Arabidopsis thaliana: one gene and its partners. The protein of the gene in region 2 purifies or fractionates together with the protein of the main gene of each other region. This does not show direct contact. Each region holds a gene or a part of one and is shown on either strand. Other genes may lie near its edges. The genes, in order: AT5G24710, AT2G07360, AT5G57460 and TPLATE.

What was found.
Region 1: the proteins of AT2G07360 (region 2) and AT5G24710 fractionate together in Arabidopsis thaliana (co-fractionation; one large-scale study listed by BioGRID). This does not show direct contact.
Region 3: the proteins of AT2G07360 (region 2) and AT5G57460 fractionate together in Arabidopsis thaliana (co-fractionation; one large-scale study listed by BioGRID). This does not show direct contact.
Region 4: the proteins of AT2G07360 (region 2) and TPLATE fractionate together in Arabidopsis thaliana (co-fractionation; one large-scale study listed by BioGRID). This does not show direct contact.

What each region holds. Positions count from the first base shown.
Region 1 is NC_003076.8:8,464,354-8,471,902, forward strand, and holds the start of AT5G24710 (Transducin/WD40 repeat-like superfamily protein), read right to left. Parts: upstream 3,821-7,549; 5' UTR 3,568-3,820; coding exon 3,436-3,567; intron 3,351-3,435; coding exon 3,266-3,350; intron 3,185-3,265; coding exon 3,145-3,184; intron 3,055-3,144; coding exon 2,806-3,054; intron 2,491-2,805; coding exon 2,391-2,490; intron 2,279-2,390; coding exon 2,204-2,278; intron 1,626-2,203; coding exon 1,527-1,625; intron 1,130-1,526; coding exon 1,013-1,129; intron 932-1,012; coding exon 816-931; intron 729-815; coding exon 629-728; intron 1-628. Other genes in the region: AT5G24740 (vacuolar protein sorting-associated protein, putative (DUF1162)), read right to left, coding at 5,720-6,411, 6,544-6,613, 6,769-6,873, 6,957-7,067, 7,164-7,526.
Region 2 is NC_003071.7:3,052,538-3,059,724, reverse strand, and holds the start of AT2G07360 (SH3 domain-containing protein), read left to right. Parts: upstream 1-2,528; 5' UTR 2,529-2,625; coding exon 2,626-2,631; intron 2,632-2,714; coding exon 2,715-3,005; intron 3,006-3,233; coding exon 3,234-3,293; intron 3,294-3,388; coding exon 3,389-3,481; intron 3,482-3,719; coding exon 3,720-3,939; intron 3,940-4,274; coding exon 4,275-4,381; intron 4,382-4,619; coding exon 4,620-4,682; intron 4,683-5,155; coding exon 5,156-5,256; intron 5,257-5,418; coding exon 5,419-5,513; intron 5,514-5,630; coding exon 5,631-5,651; intron 5,652-5,789; coding exon 5,790-5,885; intron 5,886-6,010; coding exon 6,011-6,137; intron 6,138-6,211; coding exon 6,212-6,349; intron 6,350-6,496; coding exon 6,497-6,687; intron 6,688-7,187.
Region 3 is NC_003076.8:23,271,973-23,279,312, reverse strand, and holds AT5G57460 (muniscin carboxy-terminal mu-like domain protein), read right to left. Parts: upstream 4,204-7,340; 5' UTR 3,993-4,203; coding exon 2,052-3,992; 3' UTR 1,825-2,051; downstream 1-1,824. Other genes in the region: XRCC3 (homolog of X-ray repair cross complementing 3 (XRCC3)), read left to right, coding at 4,391-5,305; GS1 (Haloacid dehalogenase-like hydrolase (HAD) superfamily protein), read left to right, coding at 6,413-6,491, 6,765-6,989, 7,099-7,159, 7,262-7,340.
Region 4 is NC_003074.8:275,714-285,526, reverse strand, and holds TPLATE (ARM repeat superfamily protein), read right to left. Parts: upstream 6,646-9,813; 5' UTR 6,357-6,645; coding exon 5,223-6,356; intron 5,119-5,222; coding exon 4,522-5,118; intron 4,354-4,521; coding exon 3,992-4,353; intron 3,904-3,991; coding exon 3,600-3,903; intron 3,498-3,599; coding exon 3,375-3,497; intron 3,218-3,374; coding exon 2,768-3,217; intron 2,689-2,767; coding exon 2,128-2,688; 3' UTR 1,876-2,127; downstream 1-1,875. Other genes in the region: AT3G01790 (Ribosomal protein L13 family protein), read left to right, coding at 333-404, 606-772, 887-998, 1,429-1,647; BET10 (bromodomain and extraterminal domain protein 10), read left to right, coding at 7,141-8,220, 8,298-8,346, 8,433-8,516, 8,942-9,025, 9,109-9,224, 9,309-9,375, 9,473-9,594, 9,685-9,813. UniProt on the Arabidopsis thaliana protein: Functions in vesicle-trafficking events required for site-specific cell wall modifications during pollen germination and for anchoring of the cell plate to the mother wall at the correct cortical position.

The DNA of each region.
Region 1 (7,549 bases), on a different chromosome or scaffold from region 2:
ATGAGGGTTACTACCAATGTATGGAAGCCATGAAAGCGAAAGAAGTACAGAAGCAATGCTATTATAATTATGCAATAAAGAAACTAGCAATCTTTGAAAATCATCAACTGGCGGTTTCAAGTAGAAAATGAACCCCGAATATTATCTGCAAATTCTGAAAAAGGAATAACTTTCAACTTTCGGGTGCAGCATGTGCTTTCCCTATCACCATCTGACATAAAGATTACGTATCTTCTCCATTGCAATTTTCTTTTAGATAAATTTAGTGTTCAAACAGCTATCAATTTAAAGTCTGCTATATACAAAACTTTTCTGCAAGAAGTAATACAAACAGTTGTATTCTATTCTTATTCTTATTCCTAGTCTACTTGAGTCAGAATACCTTTGCATTGCCAAGTGCAATATTATACAGCTACACAACTTCATCATTTGAACCATAATAGATGCATTTTACGAGATAAGAAGAGAAACTAATGTTTTGTGGGACACATAGAATGGAGCCTCAGAGAGCAATGCTCATGCTCAGGCTTGAGCATGAGCTATTGATATAGTATACAACTAGCAGGCAGAAAGAAATGATATGATACGTGGTAGATTTCGAGGATTTCATCAACAATGAGCTAATTACCCTAAGTTTTCTGTGGGTTGCAAGTACTTGAGGCGGAACCAAGGAAGAAAGTTCACATAACGGCCTTGTCAGGGCCGAATAAGTTGGATGCTCAATAGACCTGCAAAAATTCAAACAATTAGACCACTCATCTAATATACATAAATATATTCTACCATATACAATACCAAATCTTAAACAAAGATACCATATGTGTGAATCTTTAACGCAAGTCAAAATATCAAGGTTTGGCGCTCGAGGGTGACACCAAGATGCAACACTGTGGCAAGCTAGTTTCGGGACAGGTTTAATTCTACGTAGCTCCTGTAGAATAAAAGTAGATATGCATGTTAATAAATGAGATCGGGAAAATATGAAAAATCCATACATGAGATACACCATTACCTTAAATGTCATTGTATCCCATATGGCCAATGTCTTGTCAGCCCCAATTGTAATCAATTGTGGAGCACTCCCACTTACCCTTGACAGCTCAACAGCCACCACCCCACCATCATGTGCCTAATACAATCAGAACAAAAACATTAGAAGAAGCCAAGAAGGGATTAGGAAAAAAAAAAAAAAAAAGTATAACAGAGAAGTGGAAATTATCCACTCAATTAAGCAAACATGACCATGTCTATTACACCAAAAAAAAAAAAAAAGCACGAGCATGTCATAGTCCCCTAATCATTACTCAGCCTTTTATAAAAAGAATGAAAGAATATCTAAATGCAAGTATCCAACATTCAGAAACAGACACAGAAATCAATTCAGAAGGTTCACTGGAACTAAGAACAATGGTGCCTTAGCCTCAGCTGTAACCAAATCTGGCAAATCTTTCCAGGCCTAAGAATTGAACGGTCATGGTAATATCCTCTCTTGAACTTTGAATGAAAGAGTGGGCATAATTGAGTACCTTTAAGCTAAGCTTGGGTACAAGTTCCCTTGAGTCAGCGCCATGATCGGCACTCCACAGTACAAGTAAGCCATCACTGCCACCTGAAACAAGGAGTGCCTGCAATTGCATTTAGATAGAGGATGGCTAGTATCATGTATTGCACATAAATAACAGAGAGAAAATACTTGATAAGCATTCATTAAAAAACGTCAAGTTATATAAAAGGGAAGAAAGCCCAGTACTATCAGAAATTCGCTATTAACATAACCTAAACAAGCAATTGGGAAAAGAGATGCCAATGTTTAAAATTCCCGCCGCTCCTAATGCCTAGGCTATGCATGAAATTTAACCCGAGTACAGATGATCTAAGAAACTAAGGCTAGATATTTGGATTGTAAAACAGGTATCCGTATAGTAAGGCCTGCTGCGGTCTGGACTCCCACTTAGTAGAATGTGAGATTTTTACGTCGCTAAGAAGAAAGAGATATATGTAGGAAACTTCCAAGACGATATGCTCAAGACCTCGTTTTCATATAATATATACAGTCGATCTTAGTAGGTGATCTTGAGTATGTTTTTCTAAGTTACATGACACTTTCATCTATCAGATGGTATTAACTATTAACATATTAAGTAAATAACTCGAAATAAATTCAGAGCAATAAAGAGGGCATATATAGGGAATATGTAGTTACTTCGCCAGATGATGCCATGAAATTCATCAAGCAATAAATGGATCCTTTATGGCCACCTGTATATCGACGTGCAAGCTGCAAGGAAGTAAACATTCAAGGAAATTAACACAGATCAGTATCAAAATCCCTCACTCTAAACCCAGCAGAGAAACCAAAAAAAAAAAATATAATTTTGAAACAAACAAACCTTCCATGTTATCATTGATAAAACCCGAATGACACCATCAGTTGAACCAAATGCAACTAAAGGGCCATCACCACCAGATGATCTCGAAAGAAACTCCATGCTGCAAAGAAAGGAAGAATTCTAGCAACATTAAGGAGGAGTAGAAATTAAAAATGTAGAAAGGGAGTTTGGCCATTGACTGAACATTAAACATCAAGGAAGCCTGGTATCCATTACACTTAGAACACACATATCCATTACACTTATGCCTAGTCTACATTTGACTCAAATATTTCCAGCGTAGTAACTAACGGAGGTCTTTCCAGGATTCAAGTGATTTAAAGATAGGAAGCCTAAAGTAATGGAGCATCTTCCCCGGGGTCCAGGTGTCAAGCAAACCCATATCCTAAAATTAGAGAAAAAGCAATGAACTTACCAGAGAAGTGACTTGTTATCAAGCTCTTGCTTTGGCACATCACGACCACGCATTGTCACCAAATCCAAGAAAATAGCTTTATTCTCACAACAAATGACCAGAAAATGACGGCCTTTAGTCGATGGAGCAGGGGAAGTGAAAGCAGATGTCAGATGATTGACAGCTGATGGAGATTCAGCAGCTGCGGAGCGGTTGCGCCACAGTTGCCAATAACGCACATCATCGTCATAAAACTTCACCTGCTTAACGCTAGTAGGTGCAAACATTGAGCAGATAAGTCATTTTTCTCATTATCGAAAGGAGCAACTGAATTAGCAGCGAGAAAGATCTATCTACTACCTTCCTCCTCGAATGGCTTCAGTAGGCTTAGCTTTATAGTCTGAGGAAAATACGAATGTCAGTAAGAACATAAAGCATCAGAAACTCATACTCATTTCACCAGAATAGAACAATGGCTCACCGGATTCTCCTTCGGCGAGCTTCTCTAACTTGGCACCAACTAAACGGCGCTCGTCAACTCCGCCGGCTTTCAATTCATAAATTACCTAACACAATAGACATAAACGTTGACAGATCCACGATTCGAAATCAGAACCGGAACCAAAATCAAATCAGAATCTCGATACAGACCTGACGATGCTCCCAATTCCAGACGGAGACGTGATCTGAATCATCAGCCGTAACAAGCCATGGATGCGTAGGATGTACCTGTATCTTCACAATCTTACCATTGGTCTGCCGAAATGCTCTCGCCCGCAACATTTCGATCTCTCTCTCTCTCTCTCACAGTTCTTCAAGATCAATTAGACAACTCAAAAATCTGAGCACAACTGCATCCGCATAGACGATTCGACTCACGAGAAACTCTCCAGAGCTACACACTAAAAATTTCCAGAAAAAGCAAGCAGGGCTATGGTCAGATCCAGATCAATTAGATCCACCGCGGTTATCAAATGAAATGCCCGGATCCACCACCACTAACTACAATCGCCGAACAAAAACTCCGGTAGTGTCTTCAGACGCGAAACGCGTAAAGCGCGAATTTGCGAAGGCTAGTCTGATTAACCCAAAAAAAAAGGCCCAATAACAATTGTTTTAGCCCTTTCCTTTGTCGCAAAATATATTCCATTTACGGAAATTAATTGTGGATCCGTTGGATCACTGAACTTTTTTTTTTCTTGTTCATAAGTTTCTTTTTTATTCAAATTATGGGTTTACAAACATCACTAAAGCCCAGTCATCAAAGTATTTCACAAATCCATAAAGGGTACAACTAAACACCTTGTAGTAAAGAGTACAGCGCTAATAAAACAAGTCAAAGCAACATACGACACGTGGATGTGACTTTTCTCTTACGCCGATGATTGTTTCATCGTTATCTCCCAGCACCACCATCAAATCCGATAACCCACCATTTCCTCTACGACAATCTCATCACGCTTGTAAATCTGACTCTCTGCTCCACAATATCCAGAGTTTATATTTGATCTAAATTTCTCCAGAACAGCAACGATCTATGACAAAAGAGAAATAAAAAACCATGATTTCTCTTGATGATTAAATCTTACCAGATATGCCGAATTGAGATTCTAAATCAAAGGATTGAGAGAATCGATTTAGGTTGAAACAAACTCTAATAGTTGATTAAAACCCAAAAGGTAAAGATTAGAAATGAAACAAAGATTGACTTTCATCTAAATAAGGATGCAAAAAAGCTTGAGAAAAGAGGATGATAAGGAAAACCCAAAAAAAAATTGGTACTAAGATCACAATGATTATTGAAAAGCAGAAAGGTAAAACCGGTATCAAAGAACTGGAAACTAAAGCCGGATTCCACTAAAGAGAAAAGTAGAAACCAGACGGCGAGATAAGACGGCAAAGCCGGACCACGTCCGGATACAAAAGCCAGCCACCACCACTAAAGAAGCCAATTGATGCTGGAAACGAACCAACCATCGTCGTTAAAGAAGCCGAACGATGTTGGACGGAGTCTTGCCATGAATCGCTTTTTCTTTCTCTGAAAAATTCAAGTGAGAGAAGAGAGAGAAAATCGAGAAGCCTCCGATCACTAAACTTTTAAAGAGAATTCCAAATGAATTATCTCAAACAAAATGACTATAGTATTTGGTGTAATAAGGGTTTACTATGTTTACAACTAAATCTAGAATTCGATAAAAAGATTTGCAATCAAAATTAAAGTCTTATTTAATCTTCAATTTAATTTAATTTTTTCTTTACAGGTTTCATTGAAGTTTACTCAATACACTTCGATTTTTTGTTTTTCCCGTCTAAACTTGTTTTCCTCATACACTTATAGAAGATCTTAACTTAATAAAGAACAATAAAATCAACGCCGCTTGTCTTCTTCAATGCGAGTGTAACCACATCGGACTTCCACGAGCTAAATATGATCTGCATCGACCTTCTCTCATTACGCTTGTGGCTATATCTCGTGCGATGAAACCTTAAATACGATCTTATCAAAATTCGGGAGAAACCAATGAATCCTATCAAGATAAGATAAATACGTGGCCAATCTAATGGGTCACTAATGGCTTCCATAGGAGCACCATAGTCGGACCAAATCTCAATATTATAGAAGTGTAGATCACATAGACTGTGTAGTACCCATAATATCCCTCTCAACTCCGCAGCAATACGATTTGATGTTGGTAAAAACATTTCTCCCGCATGAAAAACAGCATCACCATGATGATGCCACATATATGAGCATCATGATGATGCCTGACAATCCATGTACAATACACTTCGATTTATTACGCTTTTTTTTTAAAAAAAATTTTATAGCCAAAACATGTCAGACCATATATTCTAAAACTAGTTTCATAAAGCCACTTTTGTACACAAAGAAAATTAAAGAATTACTGTATTCTTATGTACGCAAGTCTCCGGTTTAAGTGATGTTACTTCGACTTAAAACAAATCGACTGTGCCAGCTCCGGCTTTTCCCAGTTTCAATAGTCGATAACAACACACTCAACAAGTCCTCTGCTTCTTCCTCCGATGGAAACTCTAAGTTAGTCTGAAGAAGCGGCTGTGCTGAAGGATTGTTCCATCGTTTTTTGGTCGGGCTGCTCTTCTTTTGCTGGTCCTGTCTCCAGTTCCATACACCATCTGAATTGCTTCCTATGATGCGGACTACTCCACCGCTGCAATCTGTATGTATTACACTCTCCAAACCGATTTCTCTTTCGATATTCCATACCAAATCTATTGGAACTCCGAGAAATCCCTGTTTTCTGAAATCTACCAAGCTCAGGCTGCTTAGAACCAATACCAGTCTCCCTGTGATTACAACGAAAGCTCCTTCTTGTTTCAGGGCTTTGCACTTCACCAGCTTCTCGCCCTTGAACTTCAGGGAATCTCCAACCTCCATAAGTACTGCTGTCCCGACCGCTTCTTCCCATGAGTAAGGCCTGAGAGGTTGTTCTCTACTCAGAGGCCTCGGAAGACGAAGCCTATGCCTTTGGGATCTTATGTTATGAATCCTGCTTCGGTTTCTTATACTCTGTGCGGTTTTTCCAGTTACCTCAAGGATACTAGCGGTTGGTCTGGCCACAAGTCCAGTAATCCCCATGGCCACTCCTGAACCATATATAGGCACCCAGTTAACATGCATAAAATTAGAAAGCCAGAAACAAAAGGACAGCGTGTACACGAACATCAAATGTCTTGAATGTCTATAGATGACTTGAGCGGTGGTTCTCGCTTAAATACCTGAGATAACGCCTGGAAGACCATGTTTCTCAGCTCCTCTTATTGGTGATTGAAGGAGACCAGTGAGTCCCTGTGATGAACATCGTGTCAGCTGGCATGCTTAAATTCTTTATGCAAGTTCAGAAGAATTTGACAGAAGTCACTGACTTCAAGTAACTTTCAAGACTAAGTGAACATCAAATCAGTATATAAGACATACTTCCAAAGAAAGTGCAAATAACATACCTCAAACACTTCACCTATAACTCCTTTGCTACGCGATCCTTCACCCAATTGCTGCTTCTCCATCCTTGCAACATCATGGTCATTGAATGTAAATGCAACAATACCCTGCAACGAATTGGTAATTCTGTAAATATTTCTTGAAGGAGGCGTCTACACCATAGATTTTTAAGCAAACAGATGCATCGTACCTTGTGTGCAGCTTTACTAAATTGAGTGGCAGCATCACTTAAAGCATAAATAGTGCTACTGAAGAGACTTGTGGTTCCGTGAGCCATTCCTTGAATAATTCCTGCTGGGCTCTGTTCAAGTAATCTAGGTTAGCATATAAGTTAAAAGTGACTAAACCAGACATTACATGAAAATGTTAAGCAACAAAAAGAGATTTTAATCATAACCTTTGAGATACTCCTGCTGGGAGCTGACAGGAAATCTTTAATTCCAAATGCAACATTCCTCGCAAACCCCATGGGATTTCCAATAACACCAGCAGAGCCGAAAACCTGTGTTATAGTACATTGCAGAAATACGTCCAGCAGGTATATAGGGAATAGTATGAGTGCTCTAGGAAATAAAAACACTAAGTGAAAAAGTGACATTTTACCAGTTCTTACCTTGTAAATCTCATGAAGAATTTGGCGGGTATAGTGCCCAACAAGGATCTCCTGAAATGATTCCCAACTAGTAATTTGATGAGCAATTGTCAATTGTTTGAGATGTATTCGAGCACCCTCGACATCGGCAAGAGCCATAAGACCTCTCTGAAATCGAACATAATGATTCA
Region 2 (7,187 bases):
GTCTGTAAAGTCTAAGTCAGTTTAGGTTATCGAGTCAGTCAAAAGTCTCAAATGTTTAGAGTCAATTTTATTCATGTGGGGGATTGTTGGAACTCAATTTTACACAAGTGGCTCCGGCTAACTCTTCGGTGATTTTTCCGGTGATGGCCATCACCGGAATGACCGGATTATGGAGTCTTTGAATTCCTTGTAATGAGCACTATAAGATAGTGTAGTTACATATAAAAATTGAAGTTATTATGAATGAGTAATTGAGGTCCAAAGTGGTGAGCTTGAAAGCTTATAATAACAAATATTGACAATTGTCCCATATTAGAAGTTTTAAGATCTCTCCTCTAGCATATATGGTGCTACCCATTTAACATGGTTCACTAGCTATTGGGAAGGGACACTATGGTGTAGGAGATGCAAGTCCTTTATGCAAAACAACACACACACACGCTCCGCCGCCGTCGTGCCGTGCCGAGCCGGGCTTGGGCCTTGGGCTCTTGGGAAATGGGGCCTTTGGCCCACAAACAATGTTCTTTTTGGGGAAAATACTTATGAGGCTTTGTTGCATTATTTGTAATATTTGCAACATAGTTTTTGGCCCAAAACGAAAGCCCATATCGTTTCCATAACTAAGGTATATTCGGAATATTAAAAGCATATCCGAATATTCCTTATTCGAATCTTAATTCCTTAAACGGTTGTGATAATGGCTCCGCTAATCATGCCCACGTCTTTGACTTGCGCATCACTCCGAATCCCACGATCTTTGATTTGCGGATTGCATTTCCTCACCTCTCTCCTATAAAAGGAACACATCTTCCTCTCATTGTACTCACTCGTTTTTTTTGCTAAAAGCTAAAACGAAACTCTCTCCCTTTCTCCCTTTCTTCTCAAAGTAAGTCAAGAGTATATCGTTTATTTCATGTTCGCAGATTCCGCTATCGAGTGCTGCGATACCGGTTTTATAGTGATTGTATTCTGCGATCCACTGCTCATAAAACCGTCACACTGCGGGAGCTAGTTTGAATTATGGAAAGAGATCAAATCTCGTCTTCACTCGTTTTCGAAAAACGTCTTTCCTAATCGTTTTATAAAGATTTTTGATTTATTGCAAATCAGGATTTCGCGGTCCTACAATCCATTCAATCATAATAGGAAGGATAAAAAGGGGAAAAATGTCAAAAAAATCGCGAACTTTCAAATTTGGGACAAAAAAGCATGAATTTTCGAAATATCAATTAAATACCAAAGTTATTGTTGACTTTAGAATTAATTAGATAACTTTTATCGATTTTGCCAATTTGGGCACGATGTTAAGTCAATTGACGGAAAAATTAACAGAGTTAAGTCTTCTGTTATAAATTCCGTTAACTTATGAAACAACGTTGTTTTGAATCTAATTTTTTATTACAAGTTCAGGAATTGAACTCGCAACCTTTAAGATAAAACAACATTCCTTTATGGGAAAAACGTCGAAAAAATCACCAACTTTCAAATTTGGGACGATTTAATCTTGAACTTCACGAAAGACAAATAAATCGTAAAGTTTTTGTTGATTTTCGAAATTAATAACAAAGTTATTGTTGACTTGCCATTTCAGTCATGTCGTTAAGTAGGTTAACAAAACGACGTCGTCTACTTCAACTTCCTTCTTCCGTTTTCTCTTCTTTCGATTTGATTTGGGCTGAGGAACATTGTTCGTCTCCTCACCAGATGGGATTCGAATCGATTCGGCCTCTATAGGATTTGAGATAATGAAATCGATTTGGGGATTTAGGGTTTAAATTTGTTTCAACAGAAGAAACGATGTTGTTTGTCTCTACAATAAACGACATTGTTTTGTCCTAACAGAGCAGATAAACGGAACATGAACGTCGTAAAAAAATTCTGTTAACCTATGTAACGACATGACTCAAATGGGAAGTCAACAAAAACTTTGTCATTTATTTAGAATGTCAACACAAACTTTACGATTTATTTGTCTTCTGTGAAGTTCAAGATTAAATCGTCCCAAATTTGAAAGTTGGGGATTTTTTTGACATTTTTTCCATTCCTTTACCGACTAAGCTGAATCATTTATTTGTTTGTTTCTCAGAAACATACATATTTATATAGGTTATAACAAAATGCCCAAATTAATAAAAGTTAGGTTTCGATCCCTTTGTCACAGTCACCAAATAGGCGAGTATCTTGCCGTCGTCAACTCATCGCATCCTACACAACACGAACTCAATTAAGTAGAAGAATATCTCTAGAACAAGAAACCTTAATTTCAGCACAATTTTCAGAACATGATCAATCTTTCCCTAACCAATTTCAAAAGTTTTTTCCAAGAGAAAACTTGATCAAAAAATGCAAAGATGATGAATTCTTTTTAATCGTTGAGGTTTACATCTTAATTTTTCGTCCCAAATTTGAAAATTTACCTTTATTTTTGACATTTTTCCAAAAAATACCAAAACAAAACTTTGGATGACAAATAAAAGATTCACGTGCATCTCACGTGCTTCGTGATAATTTAACAAAAGTGTAGAATTTTGATAATTTTGTAAAATTGTAAAGTTGCGTTTGTCTTGTTGAATCGCCCGTCACTAAAATCCTCTCCGAGAATCCTCCTCCGATCTGCCACTAGCTATGGCGGTAAGCATCGTCGGATCCTCACCGTATTTCACCGGCCAAGAATCGAATCCAAGTTTACCTTTCTTCCATTTTCCTCTTTACAGGAATCGTCTGGTACCACGCTAATGGATCTGATCTCGGCGGATCCAACCCCGGTTCCTGCACAATCTACTTCTTCGTCCGCATCTTCCACGGCGTCTCAGCCGACTTCTGCTTCCGCATCGTCTTCTTCCCATCTGCACCATCCAATGTCGACGAAGACGACTCTAGGAGAGAAGAAATCGAAGAGAGCCACTTTGATGCAGATCCAAAACGACACTATATCTGTTGCTAAAGCTGCACTGAATCCTGTTAAGGCCAATATCATGCCACAAAGGCAGAGACAGAAAAAGAAGGTTCGATCTACTAATTGAATTTTGTTTGGCACATTTATCTGTGTTTGAACTAAACCCTGGATCATTGGAGCTAAGAAAACTAGATTGTGGTTGTAGATTTGAATTGTTAATAGGAGGTATCAGTGTATATAGAGTCTCTGTTGTAAATAGAGTCTTAGTGAGTCAATATACCTATGTCTTGTTCTTCGATGTAGTTAACACGACTTTATGTTGCAAATGACTTCCCAGCCGGTTTCCTATTCGCAACTTGCAAGGAGCATTCATGAATTAGCTGCCACTTTGGATCAGGTTTAAGTTTGTGTTCTTATGCTCTGCCTTTATACCTCTCTTCTTCTGCTGAAAATAGTATCTGACTGTTTCTTCTGTTTTTCGCGAGTGAGCAGAAAAGTTCTCAGAAACAACTAGTGAATCACGTGTTCCCTAAGCTTGCTGTGTACAACTCAGTTGATCCTTCTCTGGCCCCATCTCTTCTTATGGTATGTGTCACTGGTTACTCATTTGACGACCAGATAGTGTCAGATCAAGTACAGTTTCTTGTATCGTTTTTTATAACTTTATGATGGAGCATCTAAAATGATTTGTTCTATTAGAGTTTTTTTTTTCTCTACCCATTAAATTATCATGGATCTTCACAAATTCGCATTTTCAAAAACAATATCCGTCAAAGAGAGGCATCAGGTTTTTAGCATTCTTTTTCTCTTGTGATTGATACAGCTTAATCAGCAATGTGAAGACAGGAATGTGCTACGATATGTTTATTATTACCTAGCTAGAATTTTGTCCGATACGGGCATGACTCCAGGGGGTGGTATCCCCACTCCTAACTGGGATGCTCTAGCAGATATTGATGCTGGTGGAGGAGTCACAAGAGCTGATGTTGTTCCTCGGATAGTGAATCAACTTACAAACGAAGCTACAAATTCTGAATTTGAATGTGAGTTTCACTCGCATTTTTCAGGCTTTAGTGTTTTATTTTATACATTTCTGCCTTGGACTGTCTTAATCTTATTTATCTTTATAATGGTATTAGTTGTTAATGTTTTTTAAGAAATATCCCAGTACCTTTATAATTTTCTTTTGATAGACCCAAATGCTGAGAGGAGTGACGTCAAAAGGTAGTTATGTTTAGATGTGGTGTCAGTTTTGGTATGGATTTAAATAATTTGGGGGTTATGGAAGTGAGAACCAACATCTAAGATAGATTTCCAACTTTCCATCTGTAATGTGACTGGAGATGAATTTCTAACCTTATCATATGTTTTTCTTCAGTTCATGCTCGACGACTGCAAGCTTTGAAAGCTCTGACATATTCACCATCAGGCAATTCTGAGCTTTTGTCAAAATTGTATGAGATTGTATTTGGCATTCTTGAAAAGGTTTGTCTGACTGCCAATGCTCTATGATTTTTAACAAGATGCTTTGTTTATTTTTAATAAACCCTGGCGTAGTTCATTGTCTGCACTCTGCGTGATTTAACCGTAGTCCCACCTTTTCTTATTTATATACAATTATACTATTTTATTCTTATTGCTTTTCATATGAGTGTGGTTTAATTTACGGGGGTTTTCCCAGTGACATGCAGAGGCCCTGATTTATCTTTCTTGTCGCTTTCAGGTTGGTGATGTTCCGCATAAACGAAAGAAAGGTGTATTTGGGACAAAAGGGGGTGATAAAGAGGTATCTTTCTAAACTCTTAGGTTCCTCCAGGAAAAGACTTAAGGCTTATATACTAGTCATGTTCCTGCACTTTATAATTTTCTTTTTTACAATGCTCTGCATGTTCTTTGCCTGCTGTAGGGTAGAAATTTCTCAAAATTCTTGTTGATGACTGCATGCATTAGGCAGTGTATCATAGTTGCTCTATAATGATATGAGTTTGCACATCTGGAGACTCTGGCTATTAGCTATCAGATTTTTAAGGCCCGAGTTAAATGTTATTTGAATTAATAAAACCATTTTTTTAAAACATTACAATTCTATTCGTATATCAGATTATCAATAAGCCAAAGGAACAACTTTGATAACTTAGCTTCTAGATATGTAGGCAGACGAATAGAATTCTTCCTCACTTGAGTATACAGCTTCTGGATTGCAGAAGGTCAACACTAAACTTTGTTATTAACTTGAGCGTTTTATCTCGTTTTTGTTAGTCGATTATGCGAAGTAACTTGCAATACGCTGCTATGAGTGCACTGAGAAGACTCCCTCTTGATCCAGGAAATCCACTTTTTCTGCACCGTGCAGCTCAGGGGTAAGACTTTTTTTTTGGTTCTTTCTACTATCTTTTTAAGTATAGAGTATTGGATTTAAGTATAGTGATGTAGGTTTCACAAGAGCAATTGAATTTTTGGTCTATTCCTAATTATGCAGTATATTGGACAGTTATTCTCGTATTCACACTTTTATGTTGCAGTGTTTTCTTTGCTGATCCTGTTGCGGTGAGGCATTCACTGGAAATTCTATCTGAGTTAGCCACAAGAGACCCCTATACAGTAGCAATGACATTAGGTAAATAATTTGTTCTATTCCCCCTTATATTGTTTTTTTCATTCTATTTCTGTGTGTAGAGACATAACTGTTTTTCATTCAAAACTTGATATGTGTCTCTTGATCTTTTTGCTGCAGAAAAGCTTGCGTCTCCAACAGGTATGCTCACCAGGCCTTTTATCTCTTGACGTTAATCTTTTTGCTGGTTATTTCGTGTTTATTTGTGCTAATTATAAAGAAGTGTTTGGAACACGATCTGGGTTAGCTGATATACCTTTCTTCTGTACACCAAATTAGGGGCTTTGCAAGATATCCTGCATATGAATGATGTTCTTGCTAGAGTTTCTCTGGCTAGGTTGTGCCACTCAATATCTAGAGCTCGGGCATTAGATGGTAAGTACTATCAACCTCTTTCTGCTGCCCGTTCTCGCTCTGTTTTTTTTTCTTCTTATCTGGCTATATGGGAGAGATCTTTTGAGAACTTACATGTTGCTAGTTTCCTTTCAATCTTCCTACAGAGAGGCCTGATATTAGGTCTCAGTTCAACTCAATTCTCTATCAGCTACTCCTAGATCCAAGCGAAAGGGTATGCTATGAGGCGATTTTGTGCATTCTGGGAAAACACGATAACACTGAGAGGCATGAGTTCTATGACTTTGATTTCTCTTAGTTCATTCTTTGTAAGGTATTGAATAACCAAAATGTACTGCATCATTTAGGATGGATGAGCGTGCTGCTGGGTGGTATCGCTTGACGAGAGAGATCCTGAAGCTGCCAGAAGCACCATCCTTGTCCTCCAAGGATAAATCTAATAAAACCAAGCGTCCACAGCCCCTTATTAAGCTTGTAATGAGGAGGTACTCCTAGCTTGGTGGAAGACTGTGTTTAGAATTGCAGATCTTATGGATTCCCTTTCCTCACTAGAATGTTGCTTTGGATTGTAATGATCGTTATGGTTGTGTTTCTTGTTAAAGAACTTTCGCAAATTGATCCTGTTCTTTCAGGTTAGAGAGCTCATTTCGCAGTTTCTCAAGACCAGTACTTCATGCAGCAGCAAGGGTTGTGCAAGAGATGGGAAAGAGTAGAGCAGCAGCGTTTGCTATGGGATTACAGGACATTGATGAATCCGTTCATGTAAATGCATTTTCTGATGCTCTAGATGATGCTGAGACCAATGAAAGTTCTCATCCAGAAGGTACATTGTCAGTATCCTCTTAATATGAATTACAATCTTTTTTTTTTATTTTGTTAGATGTCTGACAGATGCACAAATATATTTCTAATTTCGTATGGAGCATAAAATTGTATGCAAGCTTTTGGTCTATAAGAGTTTTGTTCAATTTTGTTGTATTATTATTTATTATACGTTGAAAGGTCACCAACTACAAATGTGAGTTAAGTCATTGCATCTATGCTCTGATGGCGCATCAATATGCTAGAATCGTTACAAAACTACAAATGTGAGTAAACTCAATGCTCTGATGTCCTTACAAAAATAGTATAATATCAGTCTTCTCTTCAGACGTAAACAAAGGAACATGTTTTTCTGTCCTATTGCTTTGATTTTCTTTACCGAATTATCTAAATATGTAGGGTATCCTTATATCTTTCGAGTTTTAACATGTTCCAAATCACTTTTTACCTTCTTTCCCACTCTTTGGTTACTTGTTTACCCTTATTTTTAGCAGGAATTCT
Region 3 (7,340 bases), on a different chromosome or scaffold from region 2:
AGATGAAACATGAAAGTATGAAACTCGGAAGTTAGAAAGTGAAAGAAACAAAAATGTGCTACAATGAGAAAAGTTTTGAAGTAAAAAGAAGAGTGATTAAAAAAGGAGGTTCAAGAGGATTTGGCCAAAAAAAAAAGGGAGTTTCAAAAGGCAAATGGTTGATGAAGATTTTTCTATGTGGGGAATGGGAAATGCAAAAGTGGATCTCATTGGGTGCCATTAGCATTTATCACTATGCATAAAATAATTTGGACCAAATATTTGTCAAACTATAACCATGTGTTAGTCAATAGCATGTTAATATTTAAATACTAGTATTTTGCCTATACACATATACCAGGTGTTTGGGTGGGATGGTGATATGTTTATTGTAGAAGGTTTGGAAGCAATTAAAACTTTTAATAATTTTAATGCATAAGTTATCCAGTCTTAAAGAGGCTAATAACCCAAACACCTAATCTCATCTACTAAAATACTGAAAATACAGTGGCTACTATTGTTTTGCATATAAACAAGACGGATAAAACTATGGATTATTATTGAAGAGTGAAGACACATGATTCTCGAGTCAAGACATTATTGAATAATGAATACTTAAAAATGTTTTCAGACATCTTGCTCCAACTGACCTTCGTGTATAGCATGTACTCGCCATTTTATGTAATATAGTGATTGTTATAATAGGTGTAAAACCAAACAAATAATTGGTCCTTTTTGTGTAGTGATAAATAGAGCTGTCATATATTAGGTATGGCCGGTTGGGGTTGAGAATTCATCCCTTAGCTTGCAATATAATACGTTCTTATATGTCAATGAACACTCAAATTATATGTTTTATTAATCAAATGTGAAGTGTTAAAGACTTAAAGTTGACGATTTGGTAGGCCAAGTTGATCAATATCTCTTTTTTCATCATCTCTTTAGAGGTTTGTGTTTAGGATCCCACAGCTTCTGCTTACTTTTTGAGTAATTTACAAGCAATTGCTATTAATCAACTAGTTTATTATATTAAATCTGGACAACTAGACATGTCACTCTACAAATAAGAGACAAATATGTAAATTATTATTGATATTTTAATTTTGTAACCCGTAGTTAGGAATGGATTGTACTTGGTGCTTAATACCCACATGACATTATCATTTTAAATAAAGAAATGTCATAGTGGATAATTGACCTAAGAATGACATGTTCTATGGATTTAATTCGGCGCGCTGGTATGATGTGAGATTAGTATTTTTCGTAATTGTTAATATACTCAGCTGATTTTTTTTAATGCATCATGTAATTGACAGGAGCAAGATCTATATGACTATATGTTAAGAATCATGTGGAATCAATCCCACTTTTTAAAATAAACATGATGTATAGTAAAGCTACACAAAATGTGTTGTATACTAGGGAGATGAGATCATACTAAAACCATAGTGTAAATCTTTAATGGGGTTAAGGCCTTATTCGAGGGAGATGATACTAGAACCATAGTGGTTATTGTTAATGTCACTAAAAAATAGGTCATTGCATGCACTATTTTACATCAAAAAAAATTGCGACAACTTGCAAACGGGCACTAGATTATGACACTATATCAACCTTAGTACTCAAGACTATATTACATGTTCTGATCAATCAAAACATCTATACTTTTTACTGTCTTAAGTTTGTTATGTATAATGTAATATGATATTTAGAGATCAACAATTTCAAAATGTTTGTGATTGTCTTTACATAATAATAGCCTTTGTACTTCAACAACCACCACAATTATTTTGATACTTTCATCACAACAATTAGGAGAATCTTCCACTTTACCATTTTGCAAAGTATATTTGATAAACTTAAATTTTGTAATCCGCATTTCAATAATATAAAAATGTAAAAGCAAATCGAGTAAAACAGATAACATAACAATGAAGAGAGGTCAAGATACACAAGTACACAAAACCTTACATGACACATACCAAAAAAAAGAATAACTCTCAACAAAGGCCAAACTCAAGAACATTAGAGAAAATTATAAACAATGTAAATCTTTTAGAGAGAAACTTTTATCAATTGCACATATAGACTCCGGTTTCGTACCTGTGATCTACCTCAAAGAAATCTGTATTTCCCTCAGCAGCTGCACGTAGACTGATACCAGACAGAGAAGTATTTCCCTGTACCGAGAATTTCACATAGCAGATGATATCTGGTTCTTCCTCGCTGTTATCTGAATCGATAGGCATCCGTGCTCTTAGTCTCCCGGGACTTCCATTCAGAGGAATCTCCGGAATTTGCCATTTCAGTTCTCGATCGGTTCTGTTCAGTATTGCTTTAGGCGAAACCTTAAGCAATGTGGGATCAACCGGGAGTTTTAGGATAAAGTCGACGTTTTTCAGAGGCTGAGGTAGATCCGGATTTGAGACGTATTGTATCATAAGTGAGAGTAAAGTCCCGCTGATTCGTTTCACCATTCGGACTCTAAGAGGCAACGGGGTTAGTTTAGGTTGCAAGCTATATTTAAGGATAGGGATTGGTTCTTCTGATGGAGCAGTTCTCACGTGAAACAAACCGTTCCCTAAGCTACTGATCCGAGAACTCTGCATAGCAAATCTCTTAACTGCAGTAGTACCCTCAACACGGAATGAGAACTCAGTTTCTTTCTCTTCACCAGAGCCTTTGGGTGGCATCGTTTTCAGATAGATCACACCCATTACTCCTACTCTAGCAAGCAAGGATTCTCTAAACTCGGTTCTAATTTCCTCAGAGATATACATTTCAGGACCTTTCATCTCAGGCTTCTTAACTAGGTTATCGATATTAACTCCATCTTTGCCTTCCACTGCTTTCGGATCACTGGTGTGCAACAGCTCAAGCCCACCGAGTCCTTCCTTCTTCTGAATCTTCTTTGGTCCCATAAACTCTGAAGGATCCAACCCACCTCCCCAAGCATCACTAAACGATTCAAAAGTTTCTCCAATCGTAGCCTGTTCATTGCTGAACTCAATCCCACCATACTGCCCTTCGAATCCTTCCACATTGATGTGCGTAGACTGTGTTGCCTCGGCTGGAGGTAATGTCGTCACTTCAAGTCCAGCCAATGCCAAAGTCAAATCCGTTGAGGACGGATCCTTAGTCTTCTTGAATCCACCCACAAGTTCTTTCTCCTTGTTAATCGTTTCACTAGCCGCAAAAGGATCCTTATTCTCCGGCTCTGGTTCTTCCTTCAATTGCTCTGATTCAGGCACCACTGGAGCCAAGCTCGCCGCGAACTCATCTCCAGCGGCAACAGTCTCCGGAGGCAATTCAAATCTTGCATTAGAAAATGCGTTTACAGAAGCTTGATGCTCTGCCGCATGCGATTCAACAGCCATCCAACTATCAGCTCCTCGGATCTTATTCTCAGTATCAAGAGCCGAATGAACCATCTTCGCAATCCCATCTCCGTGCATAGCACCAAGCATCGCCGCAAGACGGATATTACTAACACCACGCAAAACAATATCAAGCGCCATATAAACCTCAGCATACTTCCGTCCAAGCTTCTCCGGAGTAACTTCAACTCCACGACAAGCAGTAACAATAACACTAACAGCTTGATTCACAATATGAATACACTCAAATACATTGATCGAATTATCATGATCCGCGACAGTAACACCAAGGATATAGATCGAGTTCACTAATCTATAAACTACACGATACTTGCTCTCAACACCAACAATAACCTGTCCATTAGAAGCAGCGAGTGGATCATCACCTACAAACTCCGCCGCCGTGGCATCGTCAGGATCCGCAACGGAGGAAGAAGAAGAAGAAGAAGAAGAAGCTTGATTCTGTTTCTGATTCGATTGTTGCTGATGCTGCTGCTTCGAGGACGCTAATGCTTGACGCATTTGACGAAAATACGAGAGAGCGATTAAGGCTCTTGCTGGTGGAAACCATTCTCTAGTTTGGAGCAAAATGTCGGATCCATTTGCTGGTTGCAGAGCTAGGGCTAAACACGACATGATCCCGATTCGAAATTGATCTCGAAGCTTCTACTAATGGTGACTATTCAATCTCAATGGTTAGATTGAAACATCTGATGAAGAAATCGATCAGATCTGAGAACTGAGAAGAATCGTCGGAGAAGAAAAGGAGAAAGAGAAATGAGATCTTCGTTGTTTCTTTCGAAAACGACGTCGTTTGTTTCATTACTCGTATCCTACCTGCATGGACCTAATGCGATGGTTTGAAAATAAGCCCAATAGTAGACGTTTATTCTTAACTTATTGGGCCTAATGTCAAGGTAAGAAGCCCAATAATATGATAAAACGATGTCGTTTAACGCGATTAGGTCTTTTTAAATTTTGTAGCGCTTATAACTTTTGCGATTTTTTTTTAATTGGTAGCTTTTGGCGGTGAAATGCAAAATGGGAAAATTAAGCCGGAGAATCTCCTCCGACGATCGCCGACGAATCGTAAACTAACCACAGGCTGTGAAATCCTCGACGGATGTCTTCGCGGCGGAATTTCCTGCGATTCTTTAACCGAAATCGTTGCGGAGAGTGGCTGCGGAAAGACACAGCTCTGCCTTCAGCTTTCGCTCTGTACCCAACTTCCGATTTCACACGGCGGACTCAACGGTTCTTCTCTTTATCTCCATTCAGAGTTCCCATTTCCGTTTCGTCGTCTCCATCAGCTCTCGCACACGTTTCATCAATCAAACCCTAGTATTTACGCGAATTACAATGATAATCCTTGTGATCATGTGTTTGTACAAAATGTCCATTCTGTAGACCACCTGTTCGACATAATGCCTAGGATAGATGGGTTTGTTGGGAATTCGAAAACTAGGTTTCCGTTGAAGTTGATTGTGCTTGATTCTGTAGCGGCATTGTTTAGATCGGAGTTTGATAATACTCCGTCTGATCTTAAGAAGAGATCTTCTTTGTTTTTCAAGATATCTGGGAAATTGAAGCAGTTGGCTAGCAAGTTTGATTTGGCTATTGTGATTACGAATCAGGTTACGGATTTGGTTGAAACTTCTGATGGGTTAAGTGGGCTGAGGATTGGGAATTTGAGGTATTTGTATTCGTCTGGAAGACGAGTTGTTCCTTCTTTAGGCTTGGCTTGGGCTAATTGTGTGAATTCCAGATTTTTTATTTCACGAAGTGATGGTAGTATTGTTAAAGATAGAAGTGAAAAGGACGAGAATTGTTCAAGTTCTGTGTCCAGAAGTGCTAAGAGACGGCTTGACATAGTGTTTTCACCTTATTTGCCTGGGAGTTCTTGCGAGTTCATGATCACACGAGAGGGGATTTGTGCGGTTCAAGCGTAGGTGAACTCGGGTGCTATGTAGGATAGTTTTTGTTCGAAGCATCACCGGATTTTTTGGAGTATTTGTTCATTAGCCATTATTTATGTACATTGCAGAAGGATCCGGAGATGGGTTGCAGCAAAGCCAGGTTTATTTTTTCGGATTCCTCCTCTTGGTTAGATGTGATATGTGCTTGTTTTTAGTTTATAAGCATTCTATGTTCAATTATTCATAATAAAGCTTTTTAAAAGATTCCTGTTAGCTCCTAAGTCTACTGCAAGCTTCTCACTTTGTTCTCTGATTCTCTTTTCTTTGCATCATTGAATTTGCACGAAGTCGAAAATTTCCCACTTGGTTGCTATCTTCAAATCGTTTCATTTGTTGAGTAAATTGCTGATGTGATCTTTATATCTGGCCGTAATATCTTTATGAATAGGTAGTGTTGATCATCCTGGTGGATATGGTTTTTGTATTTATTTTCACTTGAACTCTGTAGCTAATTTCTCGATTCTAACCAGAAAATGACTGAAACCACAAAATATGATGATGCATGCCTTCATAAGTGCCATAAGTAATTAATCTAGTTAACATACTTCATTGTCCTATTGGTAAGCAAATGGAGTTAAAACAGATTACTTGTAGCTAAAAGATCTTTAACACTTCGATTGTTTTCTATTTTTCCGTGGTTATTCAGTGGCAGAGGAATCAACTGCAGTTCGAGAGGATCAATTCAGCCTCTGATGTATACAAGAATGAGAGATTCCGCCTAAGGCTGTTGCTAAAAACAACCATTGAATCATCTGAAGGACACGACGGAGCTCTACAAGAGGAAAAATTTTTTGGCCGTTGTTGGTCTTTGGATTAACAAAAGCTCTGTATACGAATCTTCACTTTTATTTTGTATAGAAGAAGACTAAACATATTTAGTTCCAATGTATAAGTTTCAACATCTCTTATTAGCACTCTTCACTATGAGCAAAACTTCTACTCTCTATGTGAACCGGCCCATTTACAAGATACGGCCCATGAACCTTTTGTTATACGTCATAGTGACATCACTCTCCAGCGTAAAAACTAACTTCCGACTGAAACTGGATTCGGTTCGTCGTTATCGGTATCGAATCAACAATGTCGAATCCTGCAGCCGTCACCGCCGGCAGAGGATCAATCACTCACGTCATATTCGACATGGACGGTCTTCTTCTCGGTAATCTCCTTGCATCTGATCTTCAATCTCCAGCTTTATTAGATCGTACTACTGTCACTATCGTTGTTTAGATTTGATGGTTTTTTTAGTAGTGACTGTTTAGTTTCCAGGATTGATTTCATACAATTGATGTTAAGATGCTAAAGCAATTAGCTTGAATCTGATCGGAAATCGAGCGATTGAGTTTTTGTTCTGTGTATTCAAAATCTCACAACTTCATTGGCTTATCTGCTCTTGCTGCATACATTCATGCTGATTTGGTTTCTGTTGCAGATACTGAGAAGTTTTACACTGAGGTCCAAGAGATTATACTTGCTAGGTTCAATAAAAAGTTTGATTGGTCTCTCAAGGCTAAAATGATGGGTAGAAAAGCAATAGAAGCTGCCAGGATCTTTGTTGAAGAAAGCGGGATTAGCGACTCTCTTTCAGCTGAGGACTTTCTTGTCGAGAGAGAGTCAATGTTGCAAGACCTTTTCCCTACTAGTGAGCTCATGCCAGGTAGATTCTGCTTTTTGTAACACATGACATTTGGTTCACAGGAAGATTACATGTACGGATATTTATGTTTTTGATGTGGTCATGAACCAATTCTCTTCCACATTTTCAGGGGCTAGTAGACTCATTAAGCATCTCCATGTAAAGAATATTCCAATATGTATTGCTACCGGGTAATCTCTTCACCTCATCTCATAATATACCATTTAGTTTGCATTCTCATTGTCCTTTACAATCCAGAAACTGACTTGTTATGTTTGATTGTACGCTTGCAGTACTCACACACGGCATTATGATCTGAAAACCCAAAGACACAGAGAGCTTTTCTCATTGATGCATCACGTAGTTCGTGGT
Region 4 (9,813 bases), on a different chromosome or scaffold from region 2:
GATTACTTCTTCCTTCCATATCTCCAGCTTTTTGATCAGTTTTAGCCAAATCACCTTAGATTACTATCAACCAGTGAGCGATTCCCACGTTTAGGTCTTCTTCTACGTGTTATGCATTTTCTACTTAAAATCATTTGGAACAATGATCACTTCCCATTGCATCTATTCTCCATTACGGTCAGAGAGTGTCACACCTATGCTATGCAATTTAGAAATTGAGTAGATGCTACAAACTTATTCGAAAATGGACCCCTTTCTATTATTAAAAAAAAACTTCCAATCTACTCTTTGTATTATGTTTTGTTGCTGATCTTGAGTATGTCTTTGTGCAGAAAGCTGTGGCAGGTATAAAGCGTATCAATCTCGACGGTCTTCGTTGGCGTGTTTTTGATGCCAGAGGCCAGGTTTTCTTTCTTCTACCTCTCTTCCAATCTACTCTCTCTTTCTTCTACCACTTTCTTCTTCTTATGCTTGGTTAGTTACATGACTACAGTGGCAAACATTTCCAGATTTTAGATAGGATGCCTTATCTTTGTTGTGTCTTTGTATTAAATCTGAATTGAATTGCTAGGATTTCATTTGTGAATATAACTTGTCTACTCTAGGTTCTTGGTAGACTAGCTTCCCAGATATCAACCGTGCTTCAAGCCAAAGATAAGCCTACTTATTGTCCTAACCGCGACGATGGCGATATTTGTATTGTTCTCAATGCTAAGGAAATCGGCTTCACAGGAAGAAAGCTCACTGACAAATTCTACCGTTGGCATACTGGGCAAGTTGCACTCTTTCTTTTAATGCTCCTGTGAATCTTCAGCTACTACAAGTGTTTTATCATATCTTTTAGTATCTCCCATTTTCATCTACTTTATTTAATCTCTCTTTGTAGGTACATCGGACACCTGAAGGAACGGAGTCTGAAAGATCAGATGGCCAAAGATCCCACAGAGGTCATTCGTAAGGCTGTCTGGCGCATGCTTCCAAGTAACAATTTGCGTGATGTGAGTACACTATAAACTGAAACATTTTCTAATCACCTGAATCCTCAGTCTTTTAGATCCCTGACTTTCTGGCTACAGATATTACCCCACACCTTGGCTTTACTCTTACTTGTTGATATCCATCATGAGTTGTGTGGAATGAGATTCTTGGTGTCCTATGTCTAGAAAGGTTGTCTCTCCTCACAAATCGGTCTTATCGAATGAGATGATATACCCTTGTTTTGAAAATCATTTAGGTTTGGAAGGAAGATTGTTCTGAACTCTTGGTTTTACCATTTTGTTATTTGTCCTTTATCTTTGGTGGGAATAGTGGCTTGTTTGTACTGATACATTCTCGCTTCTCAGCTCCTAAATGAATTGCTCGCATAGTTTAGGATGTGTTGCTTAAAACAAGAATGTGCTGAGGTTTTGTTGCTTTGTGTGGGTATAGGACAGGGATCGGAAGCTGAGGATATTTGAAGGCGGTGAGCATCCTTTTGGGGACAAGCCACTTGAGCCATTTGTGATGCCGCCTCGTAGAGTTAGAGAGATGCGACCGCGCGCAAGGCGAGCAATGATCCGTGCGCAGAAGAAGGCAGAGCAGGCAGAAAATGAGGGAACAGAGGTAAAGAAAGGAAAGAAGAGGACCCTCTCTGAAGTACCTGCGTAGAGGAATTACTTCAGAGGAAAGCTAGTGATGTGACTGTCTTTTTATTTGTAAGCAAAGTTCATAATGCAGACGTGGATAAGCTTTTAAGGCTTTCTTGTTTCTCAGACAATAAACCTGTTTCTGGATCTCAAACACTGTATCACAAATGAAGCCAAAACCATCTTCCTTAAACATGGATCTGTTTCTGGTTATCTTTCAGTTTTCTTCGTTGCAAAAAACAGAGCAATCTCACGCCAAACACTGCATGACTACAGAATGTTACTGATGGAAAATGGGTAAATGCATCCTTGGTTCCATAAACGTGTGAAATTTGTGAATAAGACGGAAGAATTCGTAAAAAAGGGCAATAGTAACATCCTTGGTTTGTTTCTTTTCTTCACCAACAACAATACAAAACATCTAAACCTACGAAGAAACCACACACAACAAAAGAAAACAAAGATTGTTGTAGCTTCATCTGAGAAAAAAGTACTCTCGCTCTTAGTTAACTTTGGTATATTTTCTATCTTTGCACAAGATGTGCCATTCTTGGAGCACTGCTGCCTGAAGCGCCATGTGCTCTGTTTCTTCTGCTGTCAGCTTAGAAAATGTTCCTTTTTCCTTCTCTTTTTTCTTCTTCTCTTCCTTGTCCTTTCCCTCTTCTTTCTCCTTTTTCTCTTTTACTTCTTCATCATCATCTTCTTCTTCTCCTTCTTCTTCTTCTTCGTTTTCTGATTCCTCCTCTATCTTTGAAGTCTTCTTCGGCTGAGCTGCCTTCAACAAAGCTATCCTCTCCATAGAGATCTTCAGCTTCTCGGCCGCGGTTGCCTTCACTTCGTCCTCTGGCATGTACTCAACGCCCCCGTCAGTTAGATCATCACACCATCCCTGAATATCCGACTCTATTTGCTTTGTGATTGATGCTTCTGATGCTCTAACCACAAACTTGCACATCATGGTGGTAGTCTCGTCACCCAGATCCATGTTCCTGCTCACTTCACTAGCGCCAAAGATCATCATACCCACAAAACCTCCATGCCACGTTTTTGCAGCGTAACAAAGCTGTAGTGACATCAAGTTAGGGGTTTATCAGACCATCAATCCAGTTAAGGAACAAGAAGAATAACAGAACCAAGTTCACCTGAAAGCCAGCAACTGTGCGTATAATGTGGGAACAGACTCTGTGGAATGGCTTCGAGGATAATGATTTGAGTCCGCTTAAAAATGGTGAAGCCCCATACTGTTGTGCGGCGGTCGCCATGAAGCCGCTTCCTTCATACATATATGTGCCAGTGTACTCTGCAACAGCTGGCAAGCTAGGCCACAAACGAAAGAACTCGACTGGTGAGATTTTGTGCGGTAGAAGAAGCTCAGTCAGTGGGATCTTGTAAGGCTGACATCTTAAGATCACAGGCTCTCCGAGTTCTGCTTTTGAACCTCTCTTCTGCTTCATGATCTGTGGATCCTCTTCTATGTAGTCACCGTCATATTCTCCCCTAGCACCACGGAATGGATAGTAGAGGACTTGAACCCAGAAACCACATCTTTCAAATTGGGACACACCAACGGTGACACTGCATTGTACAGGATCCTACAAAAGTAAATCACAGAGTCCATGATAATACAGCTAACATATACGAAACTGATTGATTGGTAAGAACAGAAACGGTTTCCAACTGACAAGACTTAAGAAATTAGAGAACTGTAAAGAGATGGGAGTATATAAGCACTGAAGAATGACATGCAACCTGTGAGACAAGATTACGCAACTGCCGCACTGCTTGAGGAGAGCCATCCATGAAGTATAGGGCACCAGATAATCCAACCCGTATATCCACACGATTCAGTTCAAGTTCTGTCAAATTAATAATCTGAAAGGTAACATAAAGTATAAGGTGTTGAGACGCTAAAACTTTATCCACTAAAACTGTATTCAAGTAACTGCAGGATGATACAGTAGAATATATACCAACCTTCAAGTGCAAAGTGACCCTTCCATCATTTGTATCTGCTAAATGGTAAGCTTCTATATAGCAAGGATCACTGCTTCCGGTCAAAGGATATGCTGTGGGAGGAACCTTGATAGAAGTTGAGTCGACCCCTTTTGTAAGGAAGAGAGTTAATTCAGTGGGCTTTGGCCTCCAAAGCTCGAGAATGGCCTTGTGAATTAGACCTTCTAATTTCCTGTCTTGAGCAGCTGATGGTTCGTAAAACTGAACAGTAAGCTTATGGTGGCTAAACGGGTAATCTCCTCTTGTCTCACTAACTCCAGCCCACCTGGAAAATAATAGGTTGTCTGAGTTCCAATCCAGAAATGCAGTAAAACTCACATAATAAAAGGATTACAAGCCAAGGGAAAGCTCACTTTCTTTCAGGAAGATTTGAAACATATTTGATCCTCTGCAATATTAAACGGGTTTGATGTTTGCTAACTGTATCTGCAGCAGCATGGTTCCTATACTCTTCAAGCTCTTTGGTTAATAACTGGCCAGCTCTTGCATGACGCGATCCCATCCTCTGGGCGCATAATAAGACTGCCTGAACATCTTGTAGCCTATTCGATGTAGTAGCAGCGGCATCCAAGTTGAAGAGAACCTTATGTATGTTTGCTATGATAATATTCAATGGATCATCGGGGTCATCAGCTAAAAGTGGATCTAGACCTTCTAGATCAATATGTTCTGCGATTGTCCATATAAGACGCCCGAGGATTCTTGGGGTATTTACCTGCCAAATTGAGATCAAGATTTTTATAAGACATTGACCACGTTTCAGTCCACAAGCAATAGTTCTCCTCCACATTTAGTATTAAATAGTACTTAAGAAAGCCTAACTAAAATTCTTCGAGGAAAATTGCCAAGGGTTACTTCTAACTTTCAGCTGAGGCTTAATTACCTCTTGGAGATCCTTAACAAGCTCACGTTGCAAGTTCTGCAATCGTGTCTCATTTAATATTTGATCCTGGGAAGCACCATCTTTCAGCCTCTTCACTCCTCCACGGGTATCATAGATATGGCACAGCCTAACAAGCAATTTCAAATAGCAATCTACAGCGTACGTCCTGCCATCACAATCCCATTTGACACAAGGCCTACAAACTTCCACAACCTCAAGGGCTGGTTCTGTCCAGTTCAGAGCACCATAACCAGTACCATATGCTAACGCACCAATCACTCTGCTCTCCATACCCGAGTTTTTTTGTTCAGGCAAAGGTAGAGACAACTGGAAGCAGCTTTCCACAAGCATTGCCACCAGCTCTTCCCGAAATAAGCTCTTACTGGTAACACTATTGAGATCATCTTTAATCCTTGCATCTTCAAAGAGAGAAATAATATCTGTCCCAGGCAGAGGCTTCTGACCTCTTCGGGCACTTTCTCTGGCAAAAAGGTGAACACAGAGAGCTGTCCGACAGATACAGGCTAATGCGTGCATCCTGTCCGATTCTGCTCTCAAGTTTCTCACCATAAGCAGCAGTCTTCTAAACAACGAAACCTTCGTAACAAATTCCAAAAAGAATGATTCAGAAATCATAGGCCACAGCTTCAAGACAAAGGTACACAACTAACCGAGCTTAAATGAAGTAAAAAACGACATACCTGCATATGCAGATCAAGCAAGTGCAGGTTCGTAACAACGGCCCTGACTATACTCTCTCTAGCAGAGGAAAATTCTTGGCGGTCCCAGAGTGTTAAAATTGCAATAATGGACTGTGAAGCCCACTCTGGCTTGCCTCCGGCAACATCTGCCAGGTAGAGCATGTTAATTCCCACTTCAAAAATCAAAGCTGGATCCAAAGAGGAAGCCAAGAATGGCGCCAAATGGGTAACCAAATCTGAGACGCCAACCAGCTTCTCGGCGTTGGAGTCCACAACGGTGGCATTAGCTGCAGCAGCAGCAGAGGAAGCCTTGGAAAGCTGTCTAATCACTTCGACACTACCGGAAGCAACAGCTTTGACAGCAAAGACAAGAGGGAAAACAGTGGCTCTGAAGGTTTCGACAGGAAGGACTAAAGACCTAGCCATCAAAGCGCTCCTCTTTCTCCATACAATGTCAACCATGGAAGAGACCCACTTGGACCTGATGGCGAGGGAGTTCTCGCTGTCAACGAGCTTATCGCCAGCAAGACGGCTCATCCGCTTGGAGTCGAACTCCTGGAAGAGTCTGCCGACGGACTCAAAGGCAACCTTGGAGACGGCGTCGGATTTGTCGAGCATGTTCTGGCCGATCCGAGCCCACCAGTTGGAGACCTTGTCGAGGAGACCCACATTGTTCTCGCACAAAGTAACGAGATCATCACGCGCGAGGATGCAGCCAAGTGTCTCGGTGATGGAAAAACGAAGGTTGTCAGATGGAGAATCGAAGCAGGAAGCAATCTCAGAGCTGCAATCAGAGATGAGTTTAGGAAGCGAGAAGGCAGGGAGAGCCGCAAGGATGGAGACGGCAGCGGCGGTAACATCCGGGTCCGGAAAATGAAGATCCGTTTTGACACCTGAGCAAACGGTGTCCCAAAGATCCGGAGTGAGGCGGGTAGATCGGATGAGATCGAATGCCAGCTTCTTACAAACAGCTGAAGCCGGAGAAGCAACAATCTCCTCCACAGCAGACTTAGCGATCACAGAGATATCTCTTCCGGCGGCGGATTGCTGCAGCGCCTGAAGAAGCGCCGATGACTGGCGAAGCGCGTCATTTGAACGGAGGTCCGCCTGGATCTGAGCAAAAAGAATGTCCATAACCGGATCGAATTAACTGAAATTCGAGATCCAAAATCTGAGCTAACTAGCTTCGCTGTCAATCTGTGTACGTATGCGACATGGAACTGGAAGAAGAAGGATGTGTAAATCAAACCATCAATTGAAGAAGAAGGAGAAGAAATTGTTTTCGAAGGAAAAAAGCGCGTGCCGTTCCTGCGATTCGAGCTTTCACAGCGTGCCGTGTTGAGTCATCCGTAGACCCAATAAAGGCACATTAAAAAGTTCATTGGGCTTTACATTATAAGCCCAGGATATTATTTTTATGCACCGAAGTATTTGCATTCGATTTTAATTCGAGGGATCAGATCCGACGGTCCAGATTGAGTCCTGCCCAGTAGCAAAACGGCGTTAGACGCAGCATTCGTTAGGGACGGGACACTAGAGAAGGGAGGGCAGAGAGCGATTTTGTTCTCTCTCTACTTCTCGGTCGTCTTCTTCGTCTCCACTCTAGGGTTTTACTCTATCTTCTTCTTCATCATCATCTTCTACACCAATCTCTAGCGTTAATCTGTTTCTGCTGGAGAAGATTTACGCTTGTTCCTCGGTTCTCTTACTTCTGCTCCGGTTCGATCGCTTGCTAAGTGTTTCGAGTTGGTTAGTTCCGAATTTCCTTTTTTATGCATATTGAGTGTTCACTGCTCTCCTCCAGCAATACTATAGGGCTCTAAGAATTGAATTGCTTTCAGGTTTTCATAGTTAGGGTTTCTCAAAACTGACTTAAATATTTTGATTTGTGCAGGTTCGCACTTCGGTGGGCGATATCATGACTGTGAGGAACGGTGGTTTCCCAGGAGATTATAATCGTAACAGTTTTGACTCTCCCGGCGGCTGTGATGATAGCCCCAATGCTTCCAAGGATGATGAAACTTTTGGTGTCCCGAGAATAGTTTTACCCTTGTCTGACTTGTCATCATCAGAAAGGAGAAAGTGGATTCATACGCTTCGTCAGGAGCTGGAACAACTACGGTCCTTTCAGAAGAGTGTTGGGGACCTTCTTCCTATATCTAAGATTGTTACTAGTACACCTGCAAGTAATGTGTCTCGCCCCAAGAGTTTTGGAATGTCACGATGCTCTACTGGCCCTGGAAAAAGGGTGCTCCCCTTCACAGCAACCAAACCAGAGCCAGTCACCACTTCCACTATGCTTCGGATGAAGCAATGTGAGAGCCTCCTTAAACGATTGATGTCGCAGCAGCATTGTTGGCTCTTTAATACCCCTGTGGACGTCGTCAAGCTCAACATTCCTGATTATTTCACCATTATCAAACATCCTATGGATTTAGGAACTGTTAAAAGCAAGTTAACTTCCGGCACGTATTCAAGCCCTTCAGAGTTTTCTGCTGATGTCCGTCTTACTTTCCGCAATGCTATGACTTATAACCCGTCAGATAATAATGTGTATCGCTTCGCTGATACTCTCAGCAAGTTTTTTGAAGTGAGATGGAAAACTATCGAGAAGAAGTCATCCGGAACCAAATCTGAACCAAGTAACTTGGCTACTCTTGCTCACAAAGATATTGCGATACCTGAGCCTGTGGCTAAGAAGAGAAAGATGAATGCTGTGAAACGTAACAGCCTCTTAGAGCCTGCTAAGCGGGTTATGACAGATGAGGATAGAGTAAAGCTTGGCAGAGATTTGGGGTCCTTGACAGAATTCCCTGTACAGATAATAAATTTCCTGAGAGATCACAGCTCCAAGGAAGAGAGATCTGGAGATGATGAGATAGAGATTGACATCAATGATCTCAGTCATGATGCCTTGTTCCAGTTGCGGGATCTCTTTGATGAGTTTCTGCGAGAAAATCAAAAGAAAGATTCAAACGGTGAACCCTGTGTGTTAGAGGTAATCACCTTTCTATATCTCATTCTTGATCCATTTGTTAACATGACTGATAAACAGCGAAAACTTTCTTGATGTAGCTTTTACATGGGTCAGGGCCAGGAAATTCATTGACGCAACACTGTGATGGTTAGCATACACTGGTTTTGTTGTTTGAGCTAATTCGCATGTCCTACTCTATGATTAAGCTGTCATTTCCTCCTCGTTACTTGCAGGGAGTGAATTGGAGGACGAGGATGTTGACATTGGTAATTATGAGCACCCTATATCTCACATCTCAACTGTCAGAACAGAAAAAGGTATGGCGTTAGAGAACTACAGTGGTTTGTTTAATCTTGCTACATTGTATTTGTCTTTTTCTCTATGGAGCTTTTGCAGACGTTTGATGTTTGCAATTCTTATATGTACTTAACCCTCGGAACCATTTTACTTCCCTCTTGTCAGAAGTGGCCGTCCATCTAGAATACTCAATGTTACTTCTGTAGTTTTTTTGGAGTGAAACTTACTGACCTTACTGATAGCAACTCATATTACACACCTAGTATGATAGTGATAGACCTGTTACATTTTCTGCTTGTTTTACTCCCAGGTCGCTGTTTGCTATTTTCTATAGTGATCATATTATCTCTAATCAGTGATTACTCCTCTTTTGGTGCAAAAGATGTTAAGTTTTGTTGATATTAATTAATAAACCTTGGTTTTCTTATTCCCTTTCTAAAAGCAGATTCCGTCGGTGGATTGAATCAGATGGAAGATGCATCCAGAGGGAAGCTAAGTCTTATTGAGGGGGCAGATGGTCATCAAGATGGTAAGCTCAGAAGTGTAGCAGAAAAATATCTGTGCTCTAATATCTGAGGGTGGCATCTCACTCTTGACCCATTAATAATTTAGGAAATAGTGCTCCAAAAGAGAAGGAACTACCTCCAGAAAAGCGTTACAGGGCTGCTCTATTGAAAAATCGATTTGCGGATATAATCTTGAAGGCTCAAGAGATAACTCTTAATCAGGTTAGCTGTGTTTGTGGAGGTGTGAGCTGTTATATCTGGTTAGCCCTCCCTCTTTGACTTTCAAAATTATATTTGTGAGATCAGAATGAGAAACGAGACCCAGAGACACTGCAACGTGAGAAGGAAGAACTGGAATTGCAAAAGAAGAAAGGTATTCTTGATTTGCTAGTTTCGATTTTTTGATTGATGATATATACCAAGTAGTATATACGTACATAAACTTGTCCTCTTATTGTTTTGTGCACCAGAAAAAGCACGGTTACAAGCAGAAGCCAAGGAAGCTGAAGAAGCTCGTAGAAAAGCTGAGGCACAAGAGGCTAAGAGGAAACTGGAACTTGAAAGAGAAGCAGCCCGGCAGGCATTGCTTGAGGTAAATCAAAATTGCTGCCTTGTACCAGTTTGGTTTTATAAACTGCAATACATGTATATTGATCATTGCCATGACTGAATGGTACACCAGATGGAGAAGTCGGTTGAAATAAATGAGAACACAAGGTTTCTCAAGGACCTAGAACTGCTCAAAACGGTTAACACGGACCAGTTACGAAATCTAAGAGATGTTGGCTCTGAGTCTGATGGGTTGGCTGTA